2 linked regions of the Lepisosteus oculatus genome follow. The protein of the gene in region 2 interacts with the protein of the main gene of each other region in a biochemical or structural test. Links are inferred from orthologs where the notes say so. Each region holds a gene or a part of one and is shown on either strand. Other genes may lie near its edges.

What was found. The genes of interacting proteins can lie anywhere in the genome.
Region 1: the proteins of dnm1a (region 2) and sh3gl1b form a complex in vitro, tested with the Homo sapiens proteins (2 studies listed by BioGRID and IntAct, with this or other methods). The link is inferred for Lepisosteus oculatus from reciprocal best matches to the Homo sapiens genes DNM1 and SH3GL1.

Annotation. Positions count from the first base shown.
Region 1 is NC_090724.1:9,724,833-9,730,692, reverse strand, and holds the start of sh3gl1b (SH3-domain GRB2-like 1b), read left to right. Parts: upstream 1-2,738; 5' UTR 2,739-2,922; coding exon 2,923-2,967; intron 2,968-5,860. UniProt on the Homo sapiens protein: Implicated in endocytosis. May recruit other proteins to membranes with high curvature.
Region 2 is NC_090719.1:12,811,534-12,817,393, reverse strand, and holds the start of dnm1a (dynamin-1a), read right to left. Parts: upstream 3,929-5,860; 5' UTR 3,664-3,928; coding exon 3,503-3,663; intron 2,049-3,502; exon of another isoform or gene 1,888-2,048; intron 1-1,887. UniProt on the Homo sapiens protein: Catalyzes the hydrolysis of GTP and utilizes this energy to mediate vesicle scission and participates in many forms of endocytosis, such as clathrin-mediated endocytosis or synaptic vesicle endocytosis as well as rapid endocytosis (RE).

The DNA of each region.
Region 1 (5,860 bases), on a different chromosome or scaffold from region 2:
CAGACTGAGGTTTCGTGCTTGCGGCTAAGAGTTCTTATTCAACTTCAAAATCTTCTTTCCAAAACTTTAAACTATTTTTAATTAAGCCGCTGCCCTCCCGAGCTCCCTCTCTGTCTCCCACTCTCAGAAGGCGCTAGGAGCTCGGAATTGGCGGGAGTCTCGCACTGACCCCAACAGCTTCAGCTGATTGGCCAGATGTCGGAAACTACCCAAGAGGGGGGCGGGGACTAGCCTATGATATCCTGAAGGCTATCCCCCCACGAATACGCCTCTTCAGGGAGCTCTCGATGCTCATTGGCAAGTACTTGGTTAGTCACGTCACTCTTAACTATAGTTCTGATATGTGATTGGTTCAAGGGACACTGGCACAGGTGCGTGACTGGCTCTGCGAAACTGTCGCTCAGAGAAGAGTAGTCGGCAGGAAAGGAGGTGATTTGCCAGGTGGTTAGAAAGCTACAGGAGGGTGGCCGCTGATTCGTGCGCGGACTTGTCAGGTTAAAATGAGGTGTTGCTAGGCAACCAGATTGGGTGCAGAATCTAGAGACAACGTTCACAGCTGGTATTGCAATCCTAACGGATAATACAAGCACACAGACATATTCAAGAACTAAACATAGGATTGTTATAAAAAAAAAATCAGAATCCATGAAACTGAAGGTTGGCTCCGCTGAAGTCTTCTGTGCTTAGCGTGGCTCTGCGGTTCCGCAGCCTTCCAGGAGGGGGAGACACAGCACCACACAAAATAACACAAAACAACAACACAATCTGCTTCCCCAGGACAAAACGTTTTTCTCTTTAACCTCTCTCTCATACAAATAAAAGGAAATATAAACTTCCACAACATGACAATTTTCTCTTTTTTTGCGATATACACATATAATAATGACCAGGAATGTGTTTTTCTCTACTGGAATCTGAAAAAAAGACATCAGAAGATCAGAGAGATATATAGAAAATAATATTGCAATGGGGTCTAAACCAATATATATTTTTTTAAATACAACAGCAAAAGAACAATTAAGGAGATTACAACATGAGAAACGTTTGGAAAATGGCTGATGGGAGAAATAAATAATAATAATAATTAATAATAATAATAATAATAATAATAATTGCTTACACTTATATAGCGCTTTTCTGGACACTCCACTCAAAGCGCTTTTCAGGTAATGGGGACTCCCCTCCACCATCACCAATGTGCAGCCCCACCTGGATATAAAAATAAAGATCATATCTTAGGATAGTACACAGAGAGTTCTCTGTACAGGGAGTACAGATAAGGGGTACATGTTCTGATTGGGGTGCTGGAATTAGCAAAGTACCCCTAATTTAACAGAATAAAAGGTTTTCTCAAGGTTAATGAATTTGAGGTTTCCGATATTCCAGTGAGTATTCCATGATTCTTCACAGTCTGAACTCTAGGTCCGGCCTGGAGCTCCTGGGCCCAGAATCGGCCCACTGTAGTCGTCTCTAAGATGCTGGCAGGTGGCAGCCCAGATGCATTCTGGGATGAGAAGTACAATGGCTTCACTCAGCACAGATCAAAGGTCAATACTGTTGTACTGCCCAGAGCCAGCTACTGCGGTCTGGAGGTCAGGCTGCCTTGCCTGTCCTCAGCGTCTCTGCAGTGGTGCTGTTGAACCTGCTGGTCTGCCAATCCTACATGCTGTGATGAGATGTTTCACCCCCATTTCAGTTACTGTGATATGGACATGTCCAGGTGATGTTGCAGATTATCACGGAGTGACGCGCTCAGTGCCGGCAATCCCATCCTCCTTCCCAATTCCTGATGGCACCTCAGTTCTCAACCTTACTAAACGAGCACTGGGGCTTCTGTTCACCATCCAGTGTTGATCATGGTGTCCAGTCTCACTGGTCCTGTCTGTGTCTGTGACAGTGTCCACTCTCACTGGTCCTGTCTGTGTCTCACCCAGTCCTGTCTGTGTCTGTGCTGGTGTCCAGTCTCACTGGTCCTGTCTGTGTCTCACCCAGTCCTGTCTGTGTCTATGCTGGTGTCCAGTCTCACTGGTCCTGTCTGTGTCTCACTGGTCCTGTCTGTGTCTGTGCTGTGTCCAGTTTTACTGGTCCTATCTGTGTCTGTGCTGTGTCCAGTTTCAATGATCCTGTCTGCGTTTATGCTGGTGTCCAGTCTCACTGGTCCTGTTTGGATCTCACTGGTCCTGTCTGTGTCTCACCCAGTCCTGTCCATGTCTATGCTGGCGTCCAGTCTCACTGTTCCTCTCTTGTTGCCACTGTTTGTTTTCCTGTAAACTTAATATAATTTAATCTTCTATTTTTTTCCTGTTATTTTCCTTAACCTCAGGAAATACCTGGTAGTTCCCCTGAAAACAAGGTAAAGTTTTCATCTCCAATCTGGAAATACAGAGTGTGAAAACCTTTTTTACATTGAAAATCTGGGAAATGATTTTTTTTTACAGTTTTTAAATCTAAAGATTTATTTGTCTAGTCAGGCTTTTAATTAGTGTTTGCCTCTTCTCCTTTTTTCACTTTTTTATCACTGTCTTTATCTCTGTTCAATGTTACTTTGATGTTTTACGCTGCAAACAGCCCCAAACACTGTGGGTGTACATGGGCACTAAAATTAACGCTTGTAAAATTCTCTCCCATACCGAAACTGCGCGTACCCGCTGCCCGCCTGGAACTGACTTCCTGGGCAGCAGGTGGCGCTGTGCGAACACAGAGGAGGTCGCCCCCCCCCACCGCCCCTCGAGGCTGCCCTGGAATGTCCGTCGGTCTGCGGCTGAACAGGAAGTCTCCGCGGTTGCCATGTAACTTCCTGCAGGGTCCTGGGAGTCCAAGAGACTGCAGGGCCGGGTGGGTTCCGCGCAGAGAGCGAAGGCTGGGTTATAACCGAGAGAACCGGGGCTCCGCCTTGCAGAGAGGAGCGATTCCGAGTCCAAGATGTCTGTGGCGGGGCTGAAGAAGCAGTTTTATAAAGCCAGCCAGGTCAGTGCACAATTTGCTGTTGTTGTTTTCGTTTTATTGCTATCTTGGTTGCTTAGTCTTTCTGTTAGTTGGCTTCGAGTTGTTGTTTTACACGTCAGCGCGTGTCTTGACGGTTTTGGGGTGACTCTTGTCGTGTCGTTACTGCCGGTTGTGTAACTCTTGTGTAGCGATAGTGTGTTGAAGCAGGTCCTTGGACGTCCAGAGAGTCGATTGACTCTGACTCGTCAACACGTTTCTGTCTGTGAGTATAACTGCGCCTCTGTCCGCACGCTTGCTTTTGGGATTTTGAGAGGCTAATTAAAATAGGAATAGTTATATAATATCTTAGGGAAATATGTGTAGTTTGAAGGACAGTTTGTAGCAACACGATTCTTAAAGTAATTGTTATTTTTTTTTCCTGGGACTGTAGCCCCTAGTGTGTTCTACTGGACTGGGACTGTAGCTCCTATTGTGACATGGCTGTCCTACTGTACTGAGACTGTAGCCCCTAGTGTAACAGGATTGGTCAACTGCACTGGTATTGTAGCCCCTATTGTAGTGGGACTGTTCTACTGGACTGGGACTGTTGCCTGTATTATAACAGGACTGTCTTGCTGGACTGGGACTGTAGCCCCTAGTGTAATAGGATTGCTCTACTGGACTGGGACTAGCTTCTATTTGTAATAGGACTGTCCTATTGGACTGGGACTGTAGCCCCTAGTGTAACACGATTGGTCTACTGCACTGGAACTGTAGCTCCTCTTGTAACAGACTTCTGCTGGACTGGGACTGGTCTACTGCATTGGGACTGTAGCCCCTAGTGTAACAGGACTGTTGTGCTGGACTGGGACTGTATCCCCTATTGTGACAGGACTGTCCTGCTGCACTGGGACTGTAGCGCCTAAGGTGACAGGACTGTCCTGCTGCACTGGGACTGTAGCGCCTATTGTAACAGACTTCTACTGGACTGGGACTGGTCTACTGCATTGGGACTGTAGCCCCTAGTGTAACAGGACTGTTGTGCTGGACTGGGACTGTATCCCTTATTGTGACAGGACTGTCCTGCTGCACTGGGACTATAGCGCCTAAGGTGACAGGACTGTCCTGCTGCACTGGGACAGTAGCGCCTATTGTAACAGACTTCTGCTGGACTGGGACTGGTCTACTGCATTGGGACTGTAGCCCCTAGTGTAACAGGACTGTCCTGCTGCACTGGGACTGTATCCCCTATTGTGACAGGACTGTCCTGCTGCACTGGGACTGTAGCGTCTAAGGTGACAGGACTGTCCTGCTGCACTGGGACAGTAGCGCCTATTGTAAAAGACTTCTGCTGGACTGGGACTGGTCTACTGCATTGGGACTGTAGCCCCTAGTGTAACAGGACTGTTGTGCTGGACTGGGACTGTATCCCCTATTGTAACAGGACTGTTATGCTGGACTGGGACTGTATCCCCTATTGTGACAGGACTGTCCTGCTGCACTGGGACTGTAGCGCCTAAGGTGACAGGACTGTCCTGCTGCACTGGGACAGTAGCGCCTATTGTAACAGACTTCTGCTGGACTGGGACTGGTCTACTGCATTGGGACTGTAGCCCCTAGTGTAACAGGACTGTCCTGCTGCACTGGGACTGTATCCCCTATTGTGACAGGACTGTCCTGCTGCACTGGGACTGTAGCGCCTAAGGTGACAGGACTGTCCTGCTGCACTGGGACAGTAGCGCCTATTGTAACAGACTTCTGCTGGACTGGGACTGGTCTACTGCATTGGGACTGTAGCCCCTAGTGTAACAGGACTGTCCTGCTGCACTGGGACTGTATCCCCTATTGTGACAGGACTGTCCTGCTGCACTGGGACTGTAGCGCCTAAGGTGACAGGACTGTCCTGCTGCACTGGGACAGTAGCGCCTATTGTAACAGACTTCTGCTGGACTGGGACTGGTCTACTGCATTGGGACTGTAGCCCCTAGTGTAACAGGACTGTCCTGCTGCATTGGGACTGTATCCCCTATTGTGACGGGACTGTCCTGCTGCACTGGGACTGTAGCGCCTAAGGTGACAGGACTGTCCTACTGCACTGGGACTGTATCCCCTATTTTGACAGGACTGTCCTACTGCACTGGAACTGTATCCCCTATTGTGACAGGACTGTCTAACTGGACTGGGACTGTCCTACTGCACTGGGACTGTAGCTCCTATTGTAACAGACTGTTCTACTGCACTGGAACTGTATCCCCTATTGTAACAGGACTGTCTTACTGGACTGGCACTGTCCCACTGCACTGAGACTGTAGCTCCTATTGTGACAAAACTGGTCTACTGGACTGGGACTAGCTCCTATTTGTAATAGGACTGTCCTATTGGACTGGGACTGTAGCTCCTATTGTAACAGGACTGTTCTACTGGACTGGTACTGTAGCGCCTAATTATACTGAATTTCATTCTCCCACAGTCCCACAGTCCTTGTCAGGTTATCGTTTTGTTCTGACCTACCTGGAGAACTGCTCTTAGCATTCATCTGAAAGTAGATCTCGTGAACAGTTTCTAGTAATTCTGTACCTGTGGTGTCATTTGCACAAGTGTTTAGAAAGGTTAATGATGCATGTTGTTATTTTGTCTAGTGTGTATGTGCTGTTGGGGCCTTGATGGTGTTAAGTTACCCTACGCAAGTGCATCATTGACATTTCTTATTATAAATATTATGCATGAAATATTCCCCATCAGAAGAAGCTGAACTTTGGTTATATATTTAATTTGAGTTACTGATGCGTGGAAGATTGTGATTCCTAGGAATTAATTGGCAGAGCACACTTGGGAATTCTTATTTACAGGGTAAGGTTAAGGTCTGATAATGTCCACATTCCTGCTTCAGACCTGTTATTCCGCAATACGGGCTTATAAAGAAGAGTGAACCACA
Region 2 (5,860 bases):
GAAAAAACCAGATCGAATTTCAAAAGGGAACGTGATGTCAAGAAAGTGTTCGAAGGAAGCAAAAAACGTGAAACAAATAGGACACGAAGAGAGTCAGGAACGACCTTACACCAAAAGGCAGTGAAAAGGATTCCCATGAAAGCTGATTTCTGGAGCCCTTTCAATCTAGTTCATTCACTAGGACCTCCGTGGTCTTTAGACTGACCAGATATTGTTTTCTCCTCTAGCGCTGACCCTGAGCTTAGTTTTAGACAGAAGATAGATTAAAATATCATGGGGATCTCTGTAATCCCATATTTACAGACTTTTCAGTTTGCCCATATCGTATAATGTGATAGCTAATTCTGTCCCCGAATTTAATTCCGCGCTGTTAATTGCTTAATTGAATCATTTTTTTAATTGATTAGCCAGTACTGCTGTTGTTCCCAGGTTTTCAGTCATTGACACTGTAAAGACAATTGCAAGGTCTGCAAGACTACACCATTTCAGGACAAGATCAGACTAGAGTTGTGACGCCCGGATTGTATTTCATGTGCACCGGGATTTGTCTCACTATAATGACAGAAGGAGATCGGAGAGCAAACTCCCTCCCACATAATTTGTCATGATCACACCCCATACTGCACTCCTCATTCCAAAGAAAACTGGTCAAACATTGGATTGAATCCTATTTATACTCAAACCAGTTTTAAATAATCTGCATTTTTGGGTACTCTCCTTCACATCCAAAAAGGCCATCACCAAATATTTGTATCTATATTGAGAGTTTAATATACGGTATTAATCTGTATTGATATTATTAATATATATGAATGGGCTCTGGTGCGAGTGTGTGTCTGTGTGTTGCCCTGTGATGGACTGCCGTCCCATCCAAGGGGTAGCCTGCCTTGCTTGCTTTGATAGACTCTGGCTTCCCTGCAACCCTGTGGTGGATAAAGGGTTTAGAAAATGGATGGTCGTACAGTTGCTTGTAGTTCCAGGAGATAAACAATACGATGATACAGTGCCTCGTGCGGATATTAAAACTGAGATCTGAATTCTCCTGTAAAGTAGTGACCCTTTAAACTTGCGGCATAATTGTGCTTTTTAAAAAAAAACAAATGTACAATTAGATTTTGTTATGCCGACCCGATTTGGAATCGCCAGGTGTGTGACTAGTCTTTTTCGAGTCACAGCTACTGTATGAGCACCGCCACCGCGCAGCTCAGCGAATCAGGAAGTGTCGACTCCTCGAACCCGCCCACTTTCAGGCCTCCTGTCTGAAAGGCACGGCGCTGATTGGACAACACGCGTGTCCATCACCCGCAGCGCCGCAGGGCTGCGCGTACCCCGCGCTTATTGCGCGTCGCCGAGAACCACTAGAGACCTGACCGACTCATCGCACCCTGCCCTTAGCAGACACAGTCCACTAGTGACTCGAACCCGCGGCACTAGAGTGAGCACCTATACTGGTTGAGACACTCATGATCATGAACAATCACATCCACAACGCAAATGAGGAATAATAAAAAAAGCTCAAAAGATAACAGACAACATAGGAAGACTTCAAAGGTGGCTTGTAAGTCATGTATGATGAACTGTCTGAGTGACACACACCTCTCTGAACCCTAGCAACTGACTACAGCCTTACTCATTAAGAACAGACACGTAGCGCACAGGTTAAAAGCAATATTGACATTTATTATTATTATTATTATTATTAATATTATTATTATTATTATTATTATTATTATGAAGTTGTTATCACAGGTAAGATGGGACAGTTTGATGCTGTCACGGTCACAACTGGAAAACCACACCGGACACGACGTAGGCCGGGCATCTCCAAAAAACAAAGGAGGAGCTGCTGGAAGACGTTTTTTTTGCGGGCGACGGGAGATAGGTGTAGTGGCATGGGAGGGGTTTAAAATCAGGGTTCCCGGGGGTGAAAAACAAAGTCCTCCAAAACGGTAAACACATTCTTTAAGGAGCCCGACGTTTCCGTTGTCATGGGATGGAGAGGAGCGTTCAGGCCGGCCTCGCCAAACGCACTGGATGCTGCAGTCCAGGTACAGTGCGCGCGTTGGGACCGGCCCCCGGGGTGATATCCTTCCCACACAAGGTCACGGCAACGTGCAAAGCCACAGACCGACCGCGGGTGTGTGCAAGACGCGTTTCACAGCGCGGACCCGTCCAGGGAACAGGGACAGAGCGCCCTACAGCTGCCTTGTATGTGTGTGTGTGCTCTCTCCTTGCAACCCGCAGCTCGCCAACTCTTCTTCAATGCGCTGAAGGTCAGAGCTGAACCAACACCACAGGACCGCGCCGGGCTAGCTCGACGCTTGCTAAAAAAGTGCAACAAAATGGCAGCTGTGCTCGTTTTAAAAACACCGCACTCCGTTCTATAGCCGATGGCTCTAAATATTTCGTAGGGGTGTGCGTGTCCTCTAAACAGCACCCCAGAGCGCAACTGAACTGCACCAGCGAGATCTAAAAATAACACCAAGCTCGGAGCTCCACACACCGGGGTAAGGTGCTCTCCTGCTACACGCATCTGCATATTTGATATATTGAACAGGGACGTCTCCCTTCAATAAACATCCTTGGGAAATTATCAAGTGAATGCATGGAATTGCTAAATACATTATGTTTATACCACTTTAGAACATCCCGACTGCACTATTTAACAGCCATATTTTTTTTCCGGTCTGAACTCCGCTCCCTCAGTTCCCTATCTTTTATTCTTGCAATTGGGGGGAAGAACGGGCTGTGTTTCGAGCCCGGGAAGTTCTCTGATAGATGGCTGGTTACGTGCGCATTTCTCATCGCATCACCGTGCGAGCGCCGCTGTCACCTGCCCCCGGCGACCCCCCGCAAGCGGCTTCAAATCTGCGGCTGACAGAAACGACAACAAAAAAATAGTAATCATTTTCATCTTGGGGGACGACAGGGACAATACAGGGCGAGCGCAAACCCGCTCCATCAGCGGCGGTACGTTCTGCCATTTAAAAATCGATATAACCCCCTTAATGTCAAAACCTCCACCATCAGGAGAGCTCGAAAACACGCTTGGAAAAAAACACCTCCACTAGGATTAGTGCACCTCAATAGGACAGAGAAAGAATCGTTGACACTGGTTACAAATAAGCTAAAATAGCAGGCGAAATGTGTACCAGGAAATATACGGGTTGGATTGATGTGTTGTATCTTTCTATTGTATAATATGTCCACAGCACTGACAGTGCACACTGTTTATGTAACGGAATAATCTCCCCTCATATTTGCCCCCTAGCTATGACGATGGCTGACAGGGATTTCATCGATTTGAGAAAATTCAGAAACCCTTCAAGAGCAATTCCCCCCTTGAAAGGCGAATTGAATTTGACAGCTGCCTCGCGATTTGTTTTATTTTCCCCAATGCGTTTTTAAAGGGGTGGGTTTTTGGAGACCACGGTATGGCCACGGTCACTCTTGCTGTCACCTTATTTACGCAGCGAAATACCACAAAAAAAAAATCACTTACTTTCCAACGAAGTTCTCCAGAACCGAGCTTTTGCCCGCACTTTGGCCGCCGACCACGGCGATCTGGGGCAGATCCAGGTTGGCATTTTGTCCGATTGCAGAAAAGGCATCCTGGAGCTGATTTACCAGAGGAATTAAATCCTCCATCCCTCGGTTACCCATCTTTGCAAGAATAGCCTATTCTCCCTCACAGCCAATAAAATGAAGGCAACCCCCCAAAAAAATCGTTGATCTTTTTATTAGCTGGATACTGCAACGTCTGGACCCGATGGCTATGTTATTTTTGCATGCACCTTCATTGATTATACGCTGTCCGTCTCCCTTCTTAACGAAACGCGGCTTCTCGCCTCCCCCTCTTCCTCGGCTCTGCTGTCTCCCAGCTTGGCTACAGGATGATCTCCGCTCTTGTCGGATAAATGGGATATCCTTGCGATGATCGGCATCGGCCACCAGGGGGCGCAGGGACGGCGTGCGCCAGCGTGGACCGTGCTTGGCGTTCTGGGAAACGTAGTTTTCTTTGCACTGCGATAGAACGGTGAGAGCTGGTATTGCCCAGTGATGAGGTGTTCTTCATCTTGCTCAATTTTGTTTTAACAAAAGCTTGGCCACAAAGCAGGTAATGCGTTTTTTTAATTGACTTTTAATCGTACTTTTATGGAAATTAAAAGCAGCTTTTTTATTGAGCGATTCTCAAAGAAAGGTCTCTTCTAGAACAGCTCTTCCAAGGCCTGGTTCTTCTGATTTTGATTCTAGCTGAGCTCTGCATCTCCAGTGCTATTTGCTGACTTAAGTAACCTGCTTTCCTGCTTAGACTTAGCTTGTTTCTCTGGTTACTCTGAATACCCTGAACGCGAGGGAGGTCCTGAACTCACCCAGCTGGGCGACTCGGGCGGGCTGCTCAAGCCCGGGTTCGGGCTTTGATGCTGATCTGAATTGCTGGGCATTGAGGAGAACAATCCGGTCCCTCTCTCTGTTCTGGATCCCGCACTTGCGACAGACACACGCTGGGCCCTGGGGAGGGGCAAACGTCACCGCGGGGAAGTTTGAGGACAGAGGCGGCACACGTGAAACATATCCCAGTCCTGAAATAAGGTACCTACTGTAGGTAGGCAACGGAGATCAAAGGGGCCGGTGATGTCTGTTCTTTTGAAGGTGCCGGACGATGAAACGGTTCTATTTACATCCGTTGCAGTGGGGGATTTTTCTCTTGCTCGAAATGCAGAGCAAATCAATACTGGGAGCCCGCAAAGCACAGACTATGGCGCACTGCGTCGGAGACGAAAATGAGGATTTATGTAACACTAGAGCACTAATATACTATAATATACAGCAGTGAAGAGGCGAGGGCTGCTCAGGGGCAAGACTGGAAAAGAAATTGGTAAAGCACAGCCAAGTAACAGTCCTGTGTGTCATCGTGTAATCCAAAGTGAGCTGTTACATGGGGCAAAGTGCACTTTGCAGGAGAAACCTGTAACACCATCCCCTCTCGGATGACATTAGTATTAACTCTCTCAAAGCGCTTTACAGGTGATTGGGGCCACCAGTGTGCAGCCCCACCTGGATGATGCGACGGCAGCCGTAGCGCCCCAGTACTCTCCCCACACACCAGCTCTCAGTGGGGAGGAGAGCAGAGTGATGAAGCCAGTTCAGAGATGGCGATTATTAGGAGGCCATGATGGGTAAAGGCCAGGGGGAAATTTGGCCAGGGTGCCGGGGTAACACCCTTACTCTTTTCGAGAAACGCCCTGGTATTTTTAATGACCACAGACAGTCAGAACCTCGGTTTAATGTCTCATCCGAAGGTCGGCGCCTTTTTTACAGTATAGTGTCCCCGTTACAGATCAGAGGGTGCGCACCCCTACTGGCCCGCCATGGCTCGGTGTAACTTGTTCGTTATCGGAATGAACCAGATGAATCGCTCCTCTCAGACAGATTTGACAAAAACGGAAATTCCAGTTCAAAGAAAAGAAAATCACACCACAAAGTAAACTGCATGGTCACTGCCCTCTTAGATCTTTTGTATACATCATGCAATTTCTTAACTCCAGGATTAACTTTAGACCAAGAATAACCTATTATTGTTCCTTTGCAGCCTACGCATGTTGACGCAGCTCCCCACCTTAACTTTAGACCACTCACATGTGAAACATGTTTTACTTTATCTCTTTGAAAACATTTACAAGCTGAAAAGGTAGATACAGTACGTAGACTAGAACAGGTTTATCTCCCCCTTAGGGTCCAATTTATTTGTCATGGACAGGGCTGAAATATCACCTAAAGGGGATTTGGAAGCTCGTTGTGTAAAGTGCATTGAAGGATAAAATCAAACCATTTCTTTGCGTTCTGTTCTGCTCGAGTG